Astyanax mexicanus: one gene and its partner. The protein of the gene in region 1 purifies or fractionates together with the protein of each later gene. This does not show direct contact. Links are inferred from orthologs where the notes say so. Each region holds a gene or a part of one and is shown in the gene's direction. Other genes may lie near its edges. The genes, in order: nek1 and cfap410.

Region 1 (3,934 bases):
CATATGCAAATGAGTTCTACCATGGTGCAGTAAAATGTCTTTAACACTTATAACACTCGATAGCTGTTTCTCTAGAACCATACAAGCTATCAAGGTCATCCTAGCCAATTATCATCTGTGGCCCATGCACTAATGGTACACCAAATGAAAATTTGATATGGACACTTTTGTGGTCACTATTAGCCAATCACATTCCAGCAAGCTTTTAACAGGCAGAATGTTAATCAGGTCAAAACTTATATACTATATACGGGTTATTTATATGCCCTTTTTATGCCTTGTGTTTTTTCAATTTAAGAACTGAATTTGTTTCACCAAATGCGCACTAGAGTGCAGTAAGACACCACATAAAACCTGATGAACACTACAGCTCAATTTATCAATGCTTTTCAACTAGTTTACTCACACCACTCATCTAGCATTGCCATTATGGTCTTTATGGTCACGCTGGTCACCCAGCTTGGTTATGCTGGCCATCCAGCTTGGTCATGCTGGCCATTCACATTGGTAATTATGGTCCTGCTGGTCATTCAGCTTTGTCCTCATAGTAATGGTGGTCTTCCAGCTTGGTCATACTGGCCAACCACCTTTGCCATGCTGGTCATCCAGTCTGGTCATTATGGTCTTCCAGCTTGGTCAATATGGTCAACAAGTTTGTCATCCAGATTAGTCATGCTGGTAATCTAGCTTGGTCTTCACGGTCATGCTGGTCATCCTCATCCAGTTTGGCGATGCCGGTCAACCGGCAACATGTTTTAAGCCTAACTGGCCTCCAGAGGTCTCTTTGCCTGTAACGCTCGAACCCCGTAAATCGCCGCTTGCGGCTATATTATTATTATTATTATTATTATTATTATTATTATTATTATTATTATTATTATTATTATTATTATTATTATAGTACTTCTGTGTTCAGTCTCTTGTACCAGCCGGTGACGGTTGCTAGGAGAGATTTCCCACCAAACATTCACAACCTAACCCATTGTCGGCTGCGTGATCGATTGACAGATCAGCGGACCAATCAGAACACAGAACTCAAGCGCTCAACCAATAAGACAGCTGTGTTTCTTAATCGCGTCAGGCTATAGAGGCGGCTTGGTTGAGCAGAGTAACAGAGCTGAATGTGGCGGTTTGGAGCTGTAGGAGCTTCTTCACTCTACAGACGGGCAGGTACAGCCTTTCTCTTTCTTCACTGTTTAGTCCTCATATAACAGCGCCGGTGCCTCAGCAGCTGATGAACTGAGGGTTTCAGCAGCGGTATATAAGCAGCCATGTTAGCGGGCTGGCTGGCGAGCAGAAGACGGTAATTAGTTAGCTAGCGGTAAACTAACCAGTTAACAGTTGATCTGCTGCTGAGGATGATTCTTGTTAGCTAAGGGAGCGCTTAAGGGTCTGTGTTATGATCCTGCTGCACGGTTTGGTATCTTAATTGCCTAACCAATACTTTACCACGCTTTACCTGAGTGGGCTAATTCAGTAGTATCATCATCATCATGCTGCTGCAGCTGCACCCCCACACTCCTATAACTCCTCCTGTCGCTTTAAAACCGATGAACTAGATGCCCCCTCCTCTTATAGTCCTATATGGCCTAACGTTACACATTAACAGAATTTCGAAGTGCCTAATTGATTGCACTTTCAGACAGTAAAATTAAAAATATTTGTTTGCTGTAGCTCACATCTGTCTAGGTCCCTCCCTTTATAACTTGAGAGATAAAAGGCCATTGGATAATTATTTTTGACACATCATCTTTAATTCAGCAGCCCATTTGCACAGTGTGTTCTCCTGCTTTTTCGGTTGCTTTTGATTCCTTTCTTAACACACTGCTCTTTCATTTAATATCTCTATGTTGCCTTTCGTGGGTTAGATTCTTTCTAAAGCTCAAAGCTGCTCTGGTCAGTGCACAGAGCAGATGGAAATTGTAATAAGGTGCTATCTGGGAGTCTGCAGGGCGTCTATATTTAACCTTCGTTTCAATGGGAGGAACCAGAGCCCCTCCGCAGGGCAGTACTCTGGCTTAACGAGAAATAAACTGATTTATAACCCATACTGGACCAGATACAAGGATGTTCAAGTTAACTCTCGATGCCAGGCATTAAATATGTTGTGTAATGAGGTAGAATGGCTTAGTAATTGGGAAGTGAGCATACAGGATGAAATCTGCTTCACGTTTATTTGTTTATTTAGTTGTGTTTAGTTTTTGTGCTATGATGTGTATTAAAAAAAAAACTTTTTCACTGTTGGACATATGTTTTGATTGACTGATTGTTGTACATTGTACACATTGTACATTGTACACAGCTCTGAAAAAAGACTGGTTTTTAACTACAGTTTTCATGCATCTTGGCATGTTTCTTCTCCACCAGTCTTACACACTGCTTTGGGATAATTTTATGCCACTCATGGTGCAAACATTTAAGCAGTTAAGCTTGGGTTGATGGCTCATGATCATTTCTCTTCCTCTTGATTATATTCCAGAGGTTTTCAATTAAGTAAAATCAAAACAACTCATAATTTTTAAATGGTCTCATTTTTTTCCAGAGCTGTGTATATATGTTTTTTAGGTTATTAGATATTTACATTGGTCCCCAATTCCTATGTACTCCAGAATAGAGGTGTGTCATATTATACCGTACGCATTCATATTGCCAACATTTTTGTATATCGTAAACGTCATTATACCCTGAAATATCGTGCCATATCACCCACCCCTTAGTATTACATCAGGGTATACTTTAGCAATATTTGGCATGATGTATTTACTAAAGACAGATTATATCTGGCCAGTATCATTCATTTTACTTTAGTTCTGGATATATGGAGATATTTAAAGTGCATTATTAGTATCATGACATTATGGATCATTGACTTGTTACAAATCTGAAAAAATATCTAGTATCTAGTAGGGTTGCAGCGGTAACCGGTTTCACGGTATACCATGGTATTAAAATGCACGGTTATCATACCGTGTGTGTTTGCTTATTACCGGTAAAACGCAAGCCAGCGGAGAAACTCACCCGCGCATGCGCAACTCTGCTCCGCTTCAGCTGCTCAGCACACAGCGGTGAGAACAGCAGAAAGTGCATCAGACTAAACAAATCTCCGTCCGCCTAAAAAAAGGCTAAACTAAAATCAGCAGTGTGGGACTATTTCAGAGACCCGCCGAACGCACCCGAGGATGGTTATCCGATTTATAATCAATGTGGCCGTAAAGTCACAGCTAAAGGTGGACATACGTCAAACCTGTTCTCCCATCTCCAAGAACACCACCCCGCCGTGCAGCGCAAAGTATGTGTTTAGTTTATAATTTTAATCTGAACATAAATAAAATCTCTTTGTAGTCGTGCACAACCCATGCGGTAAGCGCCCGCAAAAGCGCTGAGTTATCCGAAATTTGGGCACGCAGGTACAGGCGTGAAGTGCGTGCTACGACGGATTCACGTGTCCGTGTAAAGGTGCTCGCCGGACTGGATGTGAAAGACGCCATTCATTTACATGCGTTAATTTTCAAATTCTGACGTGCCTGTTTTTCATATGTTAAAACCAGACTCAGAAATAAATCCCCTCTATCTGGTTATATACCAACTTGGCAGTAAAACGGACGTTTACAACAGTTGTTGATCAGACACTGACCCAGACTCAGACTCAGTTTATCAGATATTAAATAATTTAAACTTAAATAATTGTACTGAATAGTTTAAACACAGGATCTTTACTTCTTAGAGGACATGTAATGTGTGACACGTGTGTTTGTGTGTGTGTGTGTGTGTGTGTGTGTGTGTGTGTATATATATATATATATATATATATATATATATATATATATATATATATATATATATATATATATATATATATATATATATATTATATACACCCTTAATGACCTTAAGAGTAGTGGAAAAACCTGGTTTCCTTCACCTAATGGTGTAC
Region 2 (3,934 bases), on another chromosome or scaffold:
ATGCAGAGCTGATCTGGATGTACACGCAATAAACCACTATAAATAAATGAAATGCCTAAACGTAATATTTAATTTGTTATTAACTTTATATAAAGCTGCTGTACAGGCCAGGTGTTATTATTTATTTCCGTTTTGCAAAGGCATGGGTTAATAATACACCAGACGAGAATGTAAAAAATGTAATATGAAGTGTCTGAAGGGATTTTAAGTGGGGCAGGAGAGCCTCTATCTCTAATAACACATGTCAGGCTCTTCATGATGATAAGCCTTTCTGCAGGGCCTTCACACCAGTACAGGACAGTACAGAGTGATATTTGTGTTAATACTATTTTTATTTATTTATTGATTGATTTATTAATAGCAAATACATTTGTTGAAGAACATTTCATTTTACATTTTAATTTACTCAAAAGCTACACAGAACATGAATGAACCTCCTCTGTCCTGAGACAGAGTGTTTTAATGGGTAAAAATATTTTTGCATTGAAGCAGGCTCATTGCAGCCTTTAAAATGAAATAGTTAAAATATTTTAATTATAAAATATTATAATATTGCATGACCATTGTTAACTATTGTGTGTCCATTGTACTGGAATGAAGGGATTGCTGCAAGATTTTTACTACCCTACCAGTATATTATAAATACAAATAAAGTACTGCACTTTTTATCTGTTTATTAAAAGCAAAATTAAACCTGTCCTTATGTACGATTATATACATTATAATGTTTAAATATTTACACATACAATGTTTTAGTTACTTCTTTTCCATTTTTATTTCATTTTCATAACTTTTCTAATTAGTTTTAATAGCTTTGAAAATGAAATTGAAATGAAATCTTAAAAAAAAAGAAGTTGTTATATATCATGCTTAAGCTACTTTTTTACATTTTAATTTCAATTTCACATTTTTTTTCTTTTCCAAGCTATTAAAATGATACAATAAAAACTAAAATAAAAAAGTCCTTTACCAACCAAGAGGCAGAGATGTGAAGTAACAATTTAAAGCGAGGTGATGATATAAATGATATAAAGTGTGCTGGGTGAGTTAGATTACAAAGCCTAAAAAATGATTTGAACATAATAATGATAATATTTATAATGGAGCACAAACTCAGTACAATAGTGCTATCTAGCGCCTATGCTTGGAGGTGCATGTGCACGCATGCGCACTTTTGACTCCTGACTGTAGGCTAAAGGATGCGATGGCAGCTGTGCTAACGTGCTGCTGCTGCTGCTTGGACATTTTAGAGCAAATAAAGTGAAATAAACTATACAATTACAATGAAATTAACTCGGAAACTTGTCCTGGCGCGGGCCAAAGCTTCGGACCTGGAGAGTGTGAAAAAGCTGAACTGCTGGTATGTTTTAGCTGTGTGTGTTTAGCAGCTCGCTAACGCTTTAGCTAACAAACATGATGGGTGTCCTAGTAACGGTCTGAAGCCTGTTTACAGCACGATACGATACAGCCACAGCTAAGTAATAATATTAATACGATACGATACAGATTTATCACGATAATAAAAAGCTGAAAGTCGTTTTACCTGCTAATTTACCAAATAAAAATGGCAGTGAACCACAGGAAAGGTTAACTAGTTAAAACACTACATAAGAATTATTTGTCTTGTGCTTCTTCCTAAAATTATTAACATAATGTGTTATGGACCTAATTTCATTTCATTCACATTGCAGGTAAAATGTTTAGGCTTCACTTTATTAATCTTTCAAATAACTTATATACATGAACAATACAATCACAATATATTTGACTATGTTTGATCTAACATACACTATATTGCCAAAAGTATTCACTCCTCTATACATATAATTAAACTCAGGTTCCATTTTCACAATTAATTTTATTTGTAAGCCGTCCCCTTCAACCTTGTGTTTCTTACCTTGTGCAAATGCTGAATAAACGTTGATAAATAAACCTTTTTAACTCTCAGTCGCAGTCCAGGCAAAGCAATTTTTATTGTATTTTTTTATATTTGCAAATTCATCAATAAATGTTTTCAACTGCTTGATTTATGACAAAAAGTGGAAGAAAAAAAAAAACAAAATTGAGAAAAGACTGCATTACAGTGATGTTATACTCTATTCTTGCTGTTATTTAATTTTACATCTGAAATAGTTCATCTAAAGGGTATGGCCTTTGTATTCATTATTGTGTGTACTGTAAATCTTCAGATACACGAAAAAAGCTAAAAAAAATAAAAAAATACTGTAGCTTTAATGTTACTTACTTTATCTATATGTTACAGGGGCTGCAACCTGACAGATGTAAGTACTGTGTTCATGTGTTTGTTAGTGTATTATATAGTGTATCTTATTCAACATGTTTTAGTCTTTTTTTCCTAAAACAACATTTTATACATTCTTATACCTCTATATCTCATTGTGACTGTGTACATCCTCAGATCTCAATATTCTCAGAAATACCCAACATTGAGGTCTTAACATTAAGGTATGTTGGCTATACTTTACTTCAAACAATTTAAACCACTATGCTTATACTCCATCTATCCAATGTCATAATTTTGATCTATTTCTCCTTCTCAGTGCCAATAATATATCCTCCCTGGAACACATCTCCAACTGTCAGAATCTGACAGAGCTCTACTTGAGGCGGAATAACATCCAGAACCTCTCAGAGCTTAGCCACCTCCGAAACCTTTCCAGCCTCAAGGTTCTGTGGCTGGCAGAGAATCCATGTTGTGAAGATGACCCAGTTAACTACCGTCTGACAGTGCTGAAGAATCTGCCTGGCCTGCACAAACTGGACAACCAGGGTGGGTAAGACCCCAGTGTTTTAGTGTTTTGTTTTCTGCTTGTTGTCAAGTAATTGATTCAGTTTTTATTGAGACAAGTAGAATGTCAGCACACATATCATGGCCACTACATGCTTTCACTTGTTGTTATCTTACAAACTACTGTTCTTTTAACAAAACCATCTCATTTCTCAAGTTGTGACAGAGGAGGAACTTGCAATTGCTTTGGAAGAAGGTGAAGAAATGGTCACCCCTCCAGATCCCATTTCAGCCTGTTCCACCAATGGCCTTACAGAAGCAGACTCTGAGAATGACCCCCTTAATTACAGTATGGAGGAGACCAAGTAGGTTTGGATTGTTTTAAATATACTCACATAATTTAATAATCAAGTGCTTTAAGTCTCTGACACGTATATGTTAAATATACACATGACGATGTATATATAATGTGTGAAATTGATGTAGCCCAGTGTACTAAAATAATACACGTAAAGCCTAAGGGCATTTGTAGCATGTTAGTTGCTAATATCTAATGGAAAACTCCAGCAATGTGCCTTCTGCAGGCTTTAACCATCACATATTTAATTCAGGCTCTCTTAGGTACTGCATAGATTTTCTTATACGGTTTCTGACACATTTCAGCATACATTCATATCATTTAAATCTAGCTAAACACCATAATTGAATTAATTTAAAGCCTGGAATGTTTAAATATTTCAGTCCATGTCTTGGCTAGTAGTAGAAATAGTTTTTAAACAATATTTAAGTACAGAAATGTTTACCCAAATATGTCTCAGTGTCAGCATTGCACACTTTATTATGGTCTTGGTGCAGATCTGCTTACACTTTTTCTCTTTGATGCTCAGTTTTAGCAGGGCTGTGTTCCAAACCATATTCAGCCACACTACAGTTTAAAAAATAGTCATTAGTAGAATTGTATCGCCTTCCCCCTCTAATTTTGGGTTGAATGATGTTGGTATGAATGCAAAGCAAATCAGGAGTGAACTGTTACAATATATAAATTCTGTCTGTATTATAGGGGCTCTCTGTGTGATGCTTTGTGTTTGATTCCTCAGTAAAATCCGTGCCCAGCTGGGAATGAAGCCATTACCAAGAGATAAATTCCCATCATTTTCTTCCCCACGAGAACCAGGAGCTACCCCG

The links.
Region 2: the proteins of nek1 (region 1) and cfap410 purify together in Homo sapiens (affinity purification with mass spectrometry; 3 studies listed by BioGRID and IntAct, with this or other methods). This does not show direct contact. The link is inferred for Astyanax mexicanus from reciprocal best matches to the Homo sapiens genes NEK1 and CFAP410.

The regions. Positions count from the first base shown.
Region 1 is NC_064408.1:51,274,610-51,278,543, reverse strand, and holds the start of nek1 (serine/threonine-protein kinase Nek1), read left to right. Parts: upstream 1-1,057; 5' UTR 1,058-1,170; intron 1,171-3,934. UniProt on the Homo sapiens protein: Phosphorylates serines and threonines, but also appears to possess tyrosine kinase activity. Involved in DNA damage checkpoint control and for proper DNA damage repair.
Region 2 is NC_064423.1:30,242,220-30,246,153, forward strand, and holds the start of cfap410 (cilia and flagella associated protein 410), read left to right. Parts: upstream 1-1,161; 5' UTR 1,162-1,283; coding exon 1,284-1,360; intron 1,361-2,263; coding exon 2,264-2,282; intron 2,283-2,419; coding exon 2,420-2,466; intron 2,467-2,561; coding exon 2,562-2,791; intron 2,792-2,966; coding exon 2,967-3,114; intron 3,115-3,846; coding exon 3,847-3,934. UniProt on the Homo sapiens protein: Plays a role in cilia formation and/or maintenance. Plays a role in the regulation of cell morphology and cytoskeletal organization. Involved in DNA damage repair.